Linked DNA regions of Cricetulus griseus. The protein of the gene in region 2 interacts with the protein of the main gene of each other region in a pairwise test. Links are inferred from orthologs where the notes say so. Each region holds a gene or a part of one and is shown on either strand. Other genes may lie near its edges.

What was found.
Region 1: the proteins of Mybpc3 (region 2) and Actc1 interact in a two-hybrid assay, tested with the Homo sapiens proteins (2 studies listed by IntAct). The link is inferred for Cricetulus griseus from reciprocal best matches to the Homo sapiens genes MYBPC3 and ACTC1.
Region 3: the proteins of Mybpc3 (region 2) and myosin-7 interact in a two-hybrid assay, tested with the Homo sapiens proteins (2 studies listed by IntAct). The link is inferred for Cricetulus griseus from reciprocal best matches to the Homo sapiens genes MYBPC3 and MYH7.

Annotation. Positions count from the first base shown.
Region 1 is NC_048599.1:64,430,590-64,433,573, reverse strand, and holds the end of Actc1 (actin, alpha cardiac muscle 1), read right to left. Parts: intron 2,887-2,984; coding exon 2,725-2,886; intron 2,545-2,724; coding exon 2,353-2,544; intron 1,506-2,352; coding exon 1,324-1,505; intron 828-1,323; coding exon 684-827; 3' UTR 501-683; downstream 1-500. UniProt on the Homo sapiens protein: Actins are highly conserved proteins that are involved in various types of cell motility and are ubiquitously expressed in all eukaryotic cells.
Region 2 is NC_048599.1:85,626,775-85,630,274, forward strand, and holds part of Mybpc3 (myosin-binding protein C, cardiac-type), read right to left. Parts: intron 1,872-3,500; coding exon 1,712-1,871; intron 1,238-1,711; coding exon 1,133-1,237; intron 1,050-1,132; coding exon 861-1,049; intron 1-860. UniProt on the Homo sapiens protein: Thick filament-associated protein located in the crossbridge region of vertebrate striated muscle a bands. In vitro it binds MHC, F-actin and native thin filaments, and modifies the activity of actin-activated myosin ATPase.
Region 3 is NW_023276807.1:210,171,837-210,174,681, reverse strand, and holds part of myosin-7, read left to right. Parts: coding exon 1-140; intron 141-592; coding exon 593-776; intron 777-915; coding exon 916-1,081; intron 1,082-1,249; coding exon 1,250-1,374; intron 1,375-1,939; coding exon 1,940-2,248; intron 2,249-2,489; coding exon 2,490-2,693; intron 2,694-2,794; coding exon 2,795-2,845. UniProt on the Homo sapiens protein: Myosins are actin-based motor molecules with ATPase activity essential for muscle contraction. Forms regular bipolar thick filaments that, together with actin thin filaments, constitute the fundamental contractile unit of skeletal and cardiac muscle.

The DNA.
Region 1 (2,984 bases), about 21 Mb from region 2:
CCGATTTAAAGTAAACGTTGACTTTCTTTGTTACCAAAATGTGTGTTTTCTATAAAGTTTTGAAATATGTAAGATGTGGCAAAAAACAATTTGCAATACCAAATATAGCAACTAACTGTAGATGATTGTATTACCCACCTTCTTTGCTTACTTCTAAAGAAGTAAACTAAACAACTAAACCACAGAACTAATCTTTGCTTCTAAGATTCAAAATATATTCATGATTTTACCCCAAAAGATAAAATCAAAATGTAGTGCTCTAACTCCTAGCTCAATGCCACATGAATTTATCTGTCAAGCTTGGTGTTGCTATAATATGATAACACCAGGGTACCAGAACAAATATCTTCCCCATCCCAGGCCTAGGGTGACCAAGCAAAGGCCTTCCCCATCTTGGGCCTAGGGTACGAGACACCTCCTTTCCCATCCCAGGTCCAGGGTACTGGAACAAAAGCCTTTCCCACCCCAGGACTACTCCCACAAGAAAGAAGAGAGGCTTCTGTAGGTTGCAAGTCCTCATCTGATTTATTTATAAAGCAATAAATATTTGAAGCACAAACAAACTGCACGTGTGTAAACAAACTGTACAATGACTGATGAGAGATGGGGGAGCGGGGCTCAGAGGATTCCAAGAAGCACAATACCACCATCCTGAATGTAAGGTAGACTAAGAAAGAGACATCTTAGAAGCACTTGCGATGGACAATGGATGGGCCTGCCTCGTCATACTCTTGCTTGCTGATCCACATTTGTTGGAAGGTGGACAGAGAGGCCAGAATAGAGCCCCCAATCCACACAGAGTATTTACGCTCAGGGGGAGCAATAATCTGCAGAAAGAAAACAAAACCATCAGTCTGTTTTGAAGTTCCCAACAACGGCGCAGGCAATAGATTTGGAATATTCACAGAAAAAGCATCACAGATTAACTGACAATCAATAATACAGGAGATTTCATACCATAAAGCAATGTAGCCAATTGGGTTTTGCAAACTTCCCTGCATTTCATCATGTCCCTACTTCTTTACATTAGAGAATAATATGGCAAAAGTCTAAATGCATGCTCAAAACCTGGGGCCTTTTAAATGTGTAGGTAAGTTTAGTTATTTCTCTCCTCTGTGTTTCAAATATTTACTTATATTCACTATTTAGAAGCAGTCTTAAAAAGTCATATCTTGGGGAAACGTGCTAGAAAAAAAATCAGGAAAAGTATTAGCACTAAGCAGAAAACTTTGTAGAAGTTAAGAAGCAAAGATTCCAAAGTAGGAAGTTTGGCTTAGAATACCAAGATTTGCCTTTGCCCTCCCACTCACAAACGCTCTCTACCTTAATCTTCATGGTGCTGGGAGCCAGTGCAGTGATTTCCTTTTGCATACGATCAGCAATACCAGGGTACATAGTGGTGCCTCCAGATAGGACATTGTTGGCATATAGGTCCTTGCGGATATCGATGTCACACTTCATGATGCTATTGTAAGTAGTTTCATGGATGCCAGCAGATTCCATACCTAGGAACAAGTTCTTTTTAAAGTATTCACAGCACATTCAGGCAGGGGTGGAGGGGACAGAGGACAGAATTCTTCCGTGTTGGTGAGCTGCCACCATTTGTATCTAAAACATATGCTCCCCCACAACACGCTGCTGGGAACAGGTGGGACAAAGGTCTCTAAAATGTGCTAATAGATAATTCAGTACAGTCTGCCAAGATAGACAACTGTGTTCAGTGCCTGTTTGGCATGAACACATCCTGCAGTCATCAGGAGTATGGAGATATATTGTAAAAAGATTCACACGTGTTTAAGTGAAAATTAGCCTATTTTGTTTTGTTTTAAGATGAATCTCTGTAGCCCAGGCTAGCCTTGAACTCAAGGCAATCCTCCTGCCTCAGTTTCTGAGCACTGGGATTGCAAGTGTGAGCTACCACACTTAAATTATGGACTAAAATCAGATTCCAGCTTCTTCTGGAAACAAGTGTGTAGGAAAGATATTTGGTGACATCAAACGTCCAGTTACCGTTGTGATTGCATTTGATGGTGAATAACTTAAAGTCTAGTCTATGGGTAATGGAACTTATTAGAATAAATTGGCTTTCTTGAATAATCAGTCATGCGCTATTCAGTGACTGCTGCATCTCACTCTCTACTATGAGGTAAACTTGGTGTAACATTATCAGTCATTTTTCACTAGAGCAGCTAGTTCTGTCTTTCTCTTTACTTAAAAGCAATACTGAGCTTGGTGAGATGCCAGACTTTGACTCAAGAACCCTGCTGTCCTTTTAATTAAAATGGGCATTACTCTGGGAGAGTCCAGAATTTCTAGAGAAGCTGAGCTTCAACACCAGAATGCATCTCTTACCAATGAAAGAAGGCTGGAAGAGTGTCTCTGGACAGCGGAAACGCTCGTTGCCAATGGTGATGACCTGGCCATCAGGCAGTTCATAGCTCTTCTCCAGAGAGGAGGAAGAGGCAGCTGTAGCCATCTCATTCTCAAAGTCCAGGGCGACGTAACACAGTTTTTCCTTAATGTCACGCACGATTTCACGTTCAGCTGCAGAGATAAAGGGCTTCATAGTCAAGCTTGGAAGAAGAAATCAATTGCAGGAAAGTAGGTGGGTCCATCGAGGAAGCAAAACCAACAGATGTAGACTGTCCAGAGAAGACATATACACAACACACACACACACACACACACACACACACACACACACACACACACACAGACACTCACCAGTGGTGACAAAGGAGTACCCGCGCTCAGTGAGGATCTTCATGAGGTAGTCAGTGAGATCCCGACCAGCTAGATCCAGACGCATGATGGCATGGGGTAAGGCATAACCCTCATAGATGGGGACATTGTGAGTTACACCATCACCAGAGTCCAGAACAATGCCTGTTAGAAAAGATGGATGAGAAAGGGATGAAGCACTGAGGATGCTTCAGCCATAGTTAAACCTGCTTCTGTTTGGGTTTGAGAAACAAGTCAAGATA
Region 2 (3,500 bases):
CTGAGTGAGACCGCACCATGCAAGGAAGCTGCCACTCAGGACCAGGACCTCAGGTTTTGCTGCTCTCATAGGAAGGACTTCCCCTCTGCTGGCTTCCAAGTGTGTCCAGGAACATTTGGCCTGCATTAAAAGACATGTCTCTGGATTGACTTTGTAACAAGAGCAGTTACAAAGCAGGGACCCTCCCCCCCCAAAAAAGGAAAGGAGCCAAGAGAACACAAGGATGCAGAAAAGACTCGCCTATTGGCGTAGGAAGCTCAAGAAGTGTAAGAAAGCCAAAAGCCAGCATGAAATGTGGGAATATCCTGGCAATGTGTGATTAGGTGAGTCGCACAAACCAGAAAGTAGTTCCTTGAAAAAAAGGGAAGAAGGCTGGGAGCTGGTGCAATGACTCTTGCAGAGGACTCAGGTTCAGTTCCCAGCCCCGACATGGTGGCGTACAATTTCCTGTAACTCCAGTTCTAGGGAATCTGCTGCCCTCTTGTGACCTCTGGGGCAGGGAGCACACAACTCTAATCACAGCACTCAGAAGGCAGGGGCAGGTGGATTTCTGAGTTTGAAGCCAGCTTGGTCTACATAGAGAGTTCCAGGCCAGCCAGAGCTACATAAGTAAAATCCCGTCTCAATTGTGAAGGAATGGGACTAGTGTTCACCAGAGTGTCCGTCCTATCAGTGAGGTGACCCTGAGGCCATTTAACTTGTTCAGCCTGAGTTTCCTCATCTGTGGGACAAGGTAGGTTACCCCTGACAGCACCAGAACCCAGGCATGCAGAGGCCTGATGCAGAGGCCACCTATCAGCTTCAAGGCTGCTACCATTTGCTCCCGTGGCCCAGGAGTTCTGGGAGTCAACCATATTCACCAATAGGCATGAAGGGCTGAGAGGCAGGGCTGGGTCTGGACATCCCCACGGCATTGACTGCGTAGACACGCATCTCATAGGCTACACCCTCGATCATGCGCCTCGCCTCGTGGCTCAGCTCCCGCAGCAAATCAAAGTTGAGCCTCATCCACCTATAGCTCTTCTTCTTCTTGCGCTCCAGGATGTATCCTGAGAGAGGAGATGAGAGCTGGGTCTGTGCCCAGTCACTAGGTGACAGCTGCCTACGCTTGTCTGCATGCCCTGGCACTCACCCAGGACCGGCTGTCCACCGTCGTAGGCAGGTGGCTCCCACCGCACAGTGCAGGAGTCCTCGCCCACATTGCTGACCTTGGGGGCTGCAGGAGCGTCTGGCACATCTTGACGAGGAAGAGACACTGTGTCAGCTATGTCCAGCTCAGGGTCTAACAACATTGCTCACCTCTTCTTCTCGCCACCCCAACCAGTAACAGCCATCTGCTCCCACCACCGCCAGAGTCAAAGCAATGCAGAATCTATCATGCTACCATCTTACCACTTATGGCTCCACACTGTCTGTTTTCACCTCGTGTATCAGCTGCGATCGGCTACATCCTTCTGACCCCACTCAGCCCTCCAGAACACAGTGATTGCCCCACGCCATTTCTCCCAGAGAACTATCAATGTCACAGATAGTGACATTTCTACACACCCATCTCCCCTTCAAGCAGGGCTCCTCTCAGGCATAAAAAAGGTTCCAGTCATCACCATGGCCTGCTTTAGAGTGCCCTGTGATAACTGTTGAGTAAGTGAGTGAATGGATGGACCCTCCCTGGTGTCCTGTGTTCTCCAGCCTGGACCTCCAGTTGCCTCACCGATGACCTTGACTGTGAGGTTGACCTGGTCCTCGCCCACGGGGTTCTTTACTGTGACAGTGTAGACACCTTCATCTTCCTTCTCTGCTCCTTCAACCGTGAAGACACTGCGGTCCTTAGTGGTCTCCACACGGACCCGGCCCTCAGTCTCACACAACAGCTGAAAAGGAGAGAGAGTTGGGAAAAAGGCCCAAGTCAGACATGAACCTGTACGGTAGCCATCAGCCCTTCAATGAGAGGGGAGTTCAATTCAGGGTCTGTTGGAAGTAGTGGGGGCAGAGCCCGGGTGGAAACTGCACCGTGTGAGTGACTAGTCAAAATTTTCAATATAGTGCTGGGTGTTGGTAGCACACGTCTTTAATCCCAGCACTTGGGAGGCAGAGGCACGTGCATCTCTGTGAGTTTGAGGCCAGCCTGGTCTCCAGAGTGAGTTCCAGGATAGGCTCCAAAGCAATACAGAGAAACCCTGTCTCAAAAAACAAACAAGCAAACTAAATAAATAAATAAAATCAATATGGCAAGACACAGGCAAGGGGCTTAGACTGATCTAGTTTCATCATGGAAACTAGATTCTGTGTGCCTCACTTTTCCTGTCTGTCAAATGGGAAGCAGGTGACCCCACAAAGCTATTGTGAGGCTCCAGAAAGACCCCAGCTATTAAGACCTTCAGAAAAGCCAGCAGGGGAACAGAGGAGAAAAGGCATGACTGGGCTGTGCCAGGCAGCTGCACTTGCTGCAGAGAGCCAGGGGTGCTGTGCAGCTTGTTGGGGAGGAAAGCAACCAGTGGTCTTACCCAGCACTGGACTCTGCATGCCAAGATAACAAGCTGCCTGGCAAGTGTCCACTGGAGCACTAGCACAACTGTCCTGGGGTAAGTGCTGCTCTCTGTTAGCATATGAGGCCTGCTCCACAGAAGGGAATGCCATGCCTGGTACTGTAATGCTGGTCAGAAGCCCATGGCTGAGGAGGGCATGGGCCCTAGAGTTAAGCCAGCCTGCTGTTGTCATTTGTTAAATGGTCATGTTGTCAAATTGTCTTATGTTTCTACCCACAGACCTGGCCAGTCTCAACCTTAGTCAAGAAGCTTCTGTCTGCCTCGGACAGCAAGCAGTCAGATGGAGATGCATAAGAGTCAGTGCTGAGAACAAGACAGACATCTCTGTCAACCGTGCCGCCCCTCCCACAGCTCAGGAACCTCTTGGCGGGCAAGGCAGAAAGAACATAAGAGCCAGAGGATAGGGAGGAATGTGTGAAACGCCATCTTCTGGCCATGCCGCCCATAGCAATCAGGAGTTCTCAGCAGCTATGGTTGTCTGCACTTGATGAAGCCAGCTTGGGGGGGGCGGGGGCAGGTAGGCTGCCTGTGCTCCTGTGGATAGGCTGTGGCTGCCTGTGCTCCCGTGGGTGGCCCCACACCTATGTGTTTATTGGCAGCACTAATTGAACTTAGTGGGTTAGAGGGAAAAAAAAGCACAGAAAAAACATCTGAGCACTCTTGAGGCAGAAGTGAGTGGATGTCTGAGTTTTGAGGCCAGCCTGGTCCACATAAGGAGTTCCAGGTCAGCCAGGACTCCATAATGAGACCCAGTATAGAAGAAGAAAAAGAGGAGTTGGGAATAATGGGAGTTGGAGGGGTAAAATGGTGGATATGCTCATGTTTCATTGTATATATGTATGAAATTCTCAAGAACAAGGAAAAATTATTAATAAAAAGAAGAAAGGCAGGGATCCAGGAATCATCCCAGTTACAATGGCTTCCTAGCAAAGTCAAGGACACCAAGACCTTGGT
Region 3 (2,845 bases), on a different chromosome or scaffold from region 2:
CGGGAACAGTATGAAGAGGAGACAGAGGCCAAGGCTGAGCTACAGCGTGTCCTGTCCAAGGCCAACTCAGAGGTGGCCCAGTGGAGGACCAAGTATGAGACGGACGCCATACAGAGGACTGAGGAACTGGAGGAAGCCAAGTGAGTCCTGGGCATCCAGCCCAGCCTGATGCTCAGTAGACCCCACGTGGGGGACACTTAGATAGAATGTGACAGCGCAGGAGGGCCCTGCCCCAGCCCCACCTCCTGCTCCTCTCGGGGAAGCTTTTTGCTCGCGTTATGTTTCTCATCCGAATATAAGACGAACAAAAGGTTTGTCTGAGGGCTGAGTGCTCCCACCTGGGGTAGGGTGCCGTAGGGAATGGTGGCTGCAGCCAAGAAGGTTGTAGCCTCATGGTCTTCAAGGTGTTCTATGTCTTCTTGCTCAGCTACTAAGATCTGCCTGCCAAGTGCTGGGCCTCTGGAGCCTGTCTGCAGGCTTTTCTGGATGCTTCTTTTGAAAGACTCACATGTTTTCCTCTTGTCCAAATCTACCTCCTCCATTCTCCCCCTCCCTTTCTACCCTGCCACCCTTCCTCCTTCCCCCGCTGCAGGAAGAAGCTGGCCCAGAGGCTTCAGGATGCAGAGGAGGCTGTGGAGGCCGTCAATGCCAAGTGTTCCTCACTGGAGAAGACCAAACACAGGCTGCAGAACGAGATCGAGGACCTGATGGTGGACGTGGAGCGCTCCAATGCCGCCGCCGCAGCCCTGGACAAGAAGCAGAGGAACTTCGACAAGGTGGGCTCATGGTGGAGCTGTGGACAGGGTGCGCAGTGATGGCAGGGGTCAGTGCCAGCTCAAGCCAGAGCGTTCTCCTTGGAGGCGTGGGGGGGGCGGGGCCTGGGGCAGCTCTGGACCACGTGCCCCTCCCCTGCAGATCCTGGCAGAGTGGAAGCAGAAGTATGAGGAGTCCCAGTCAGAGCTGGAGTCTTCCCAGAAGGAGGCGCGCTCCCTGAGCACAGAGCTCTTCAAGCTCAAGAATGCCTATGAGGAGTCATTGGAACACCTGGAGACCTTCAAGCGGGAGAACAAGAACCTTCAGGGTGTGTGAGCCGAAGGGCAGGGAAGGGCCATAGGGACAGGGAAGTCTCACAGGGCCAGGGAAGGGCCATGCCCCATGTCTGAGGGCCCCAACTGCAGTCCAGGCAAAGAAACGTGCCCCATACGAGACCACAGAAACCCCAGACTGAGTCACTATGTGTCCCCCACAGAGGAGATCTCAGATCTGACTGAGCAGCTGGGCTCCACTGGGAAGAGCATCCATGAGCTGGAGAAGATCCGAAAACAGCTGGAGGCTGAGAAGCTGGAGCTGCAGTCTGCCCTGGAGGAGGCTGAGGTAGGCGTGCAGGAGGGAGCAGGGCTGGGGCAGGGAATGAGATCTAGATTTGGTCCCTGCTCTCATCTCCCCTTAGTCTGGTTTCCTCCTCCCTGGCTCATTGCCAGGGCCTAGGCCAGTGCTGGACACATAGGAGACACCCAGCAAACATTTGTCAATGGATGAGTTCAGGGTCACCTAGCCCCCTCCATGGGAGCATTGCATTAGTAGTACCTGAGAGGCATCCTTGTTTCCACTCAGCCCCTTTCCACCTCTGCATGCCTGGTTTTTTGGTTTTTTTTTTTTTTCACTCTGTGCTTGATTGCCTGTTTCCTTGGCAACACTTTTCATTTTCCTCTTTGTCTTCAACTCTGGCTCTCCCCGCTGGGAGTCTGCATCACCTTTTCTTCAGCTTGCTTTCATTTATCTTATGCACGCCCTCTCCTTTCTTCCTCTGCACACTGATTCCTGAGCCATGCACACCATTCCCGAACTCTCTCTGTATCATGTTTTTTAGACAGACCCCTGCTTCTGCCCTGGACTCTGACTATATGCCCGCAAAACCCTTTCCCCACACCCTTTCCAGGCCTCCCTGGAGCACGAGGAGGGCAAGATCCTCCGGGCTCAGCTGGAGTTCAACCAGATCAAGGCAGAGATCGAAAGGAAGCTGGCAGAGAAGGACGAGGAGATGGAGCAGGCCAAGCGCAACCACCTGCGGGTGGTGGACTCCCTGCAGACCTCCCTGGATGCAGAGACTCGCAGCCGCAATGAGGCCCTGCGGGTGAAGAAGAAGATGGAGGGCGACCTCAATGAGATGGAGATCCAGCTCAGCCATGCCAACCGCATGGCTGCCGAGGCCCAGAAACAAGTGAAGAGCCTCCAGAGTCTGCTGAAGGTACTCAGAGACTTCCGGAAACGGTGTCACCTCACCCAGAGAGGGGACTAGCTTCTATATGGGCTAATTAGATGGTAGAGGCACTATCTGTCTCTTGTCACACAGTCATTGTAGAGATATCTGAGAGGTCAATCCTGAGCCACCACAATGGACTGCCCACCCACACCCCAGTTCTATGCAACAGCCTTGCGAAGGCACCAAGGCCAGATTTCTAGCTTATGCTCATTTTGCGGATCCTCAGGACACTCAAATCCAGCTGGATGACGCCGTCCGCGCCAATGACGACCTGAAGGAGAACATTGCCATCGTGGAGAGGCGCAACAACTTGCTGCAGGCGGAGCTGGAGGAGCTGCGGGCTGTAGTGGAGCAGACAGAGCGGTCCCGGAAGCTGGCGGAGCAGGAGCTGATTGAGACCAGTGAGCGGGTGCAGCTGCTGCACTCTCAGGTGATGGGGTGCCCTGCGCATTCCTGAGCTCAGCGGGCAACAGGGGAAAGAGCCCCTCGGAGATGCCCAGACTGTTTCCTGCCCTGCCACTCTCCTCCCAGAACACCAGCCTCATCAACCAGAAGAAGAAGATGGACGCGGACCTGTCCCAG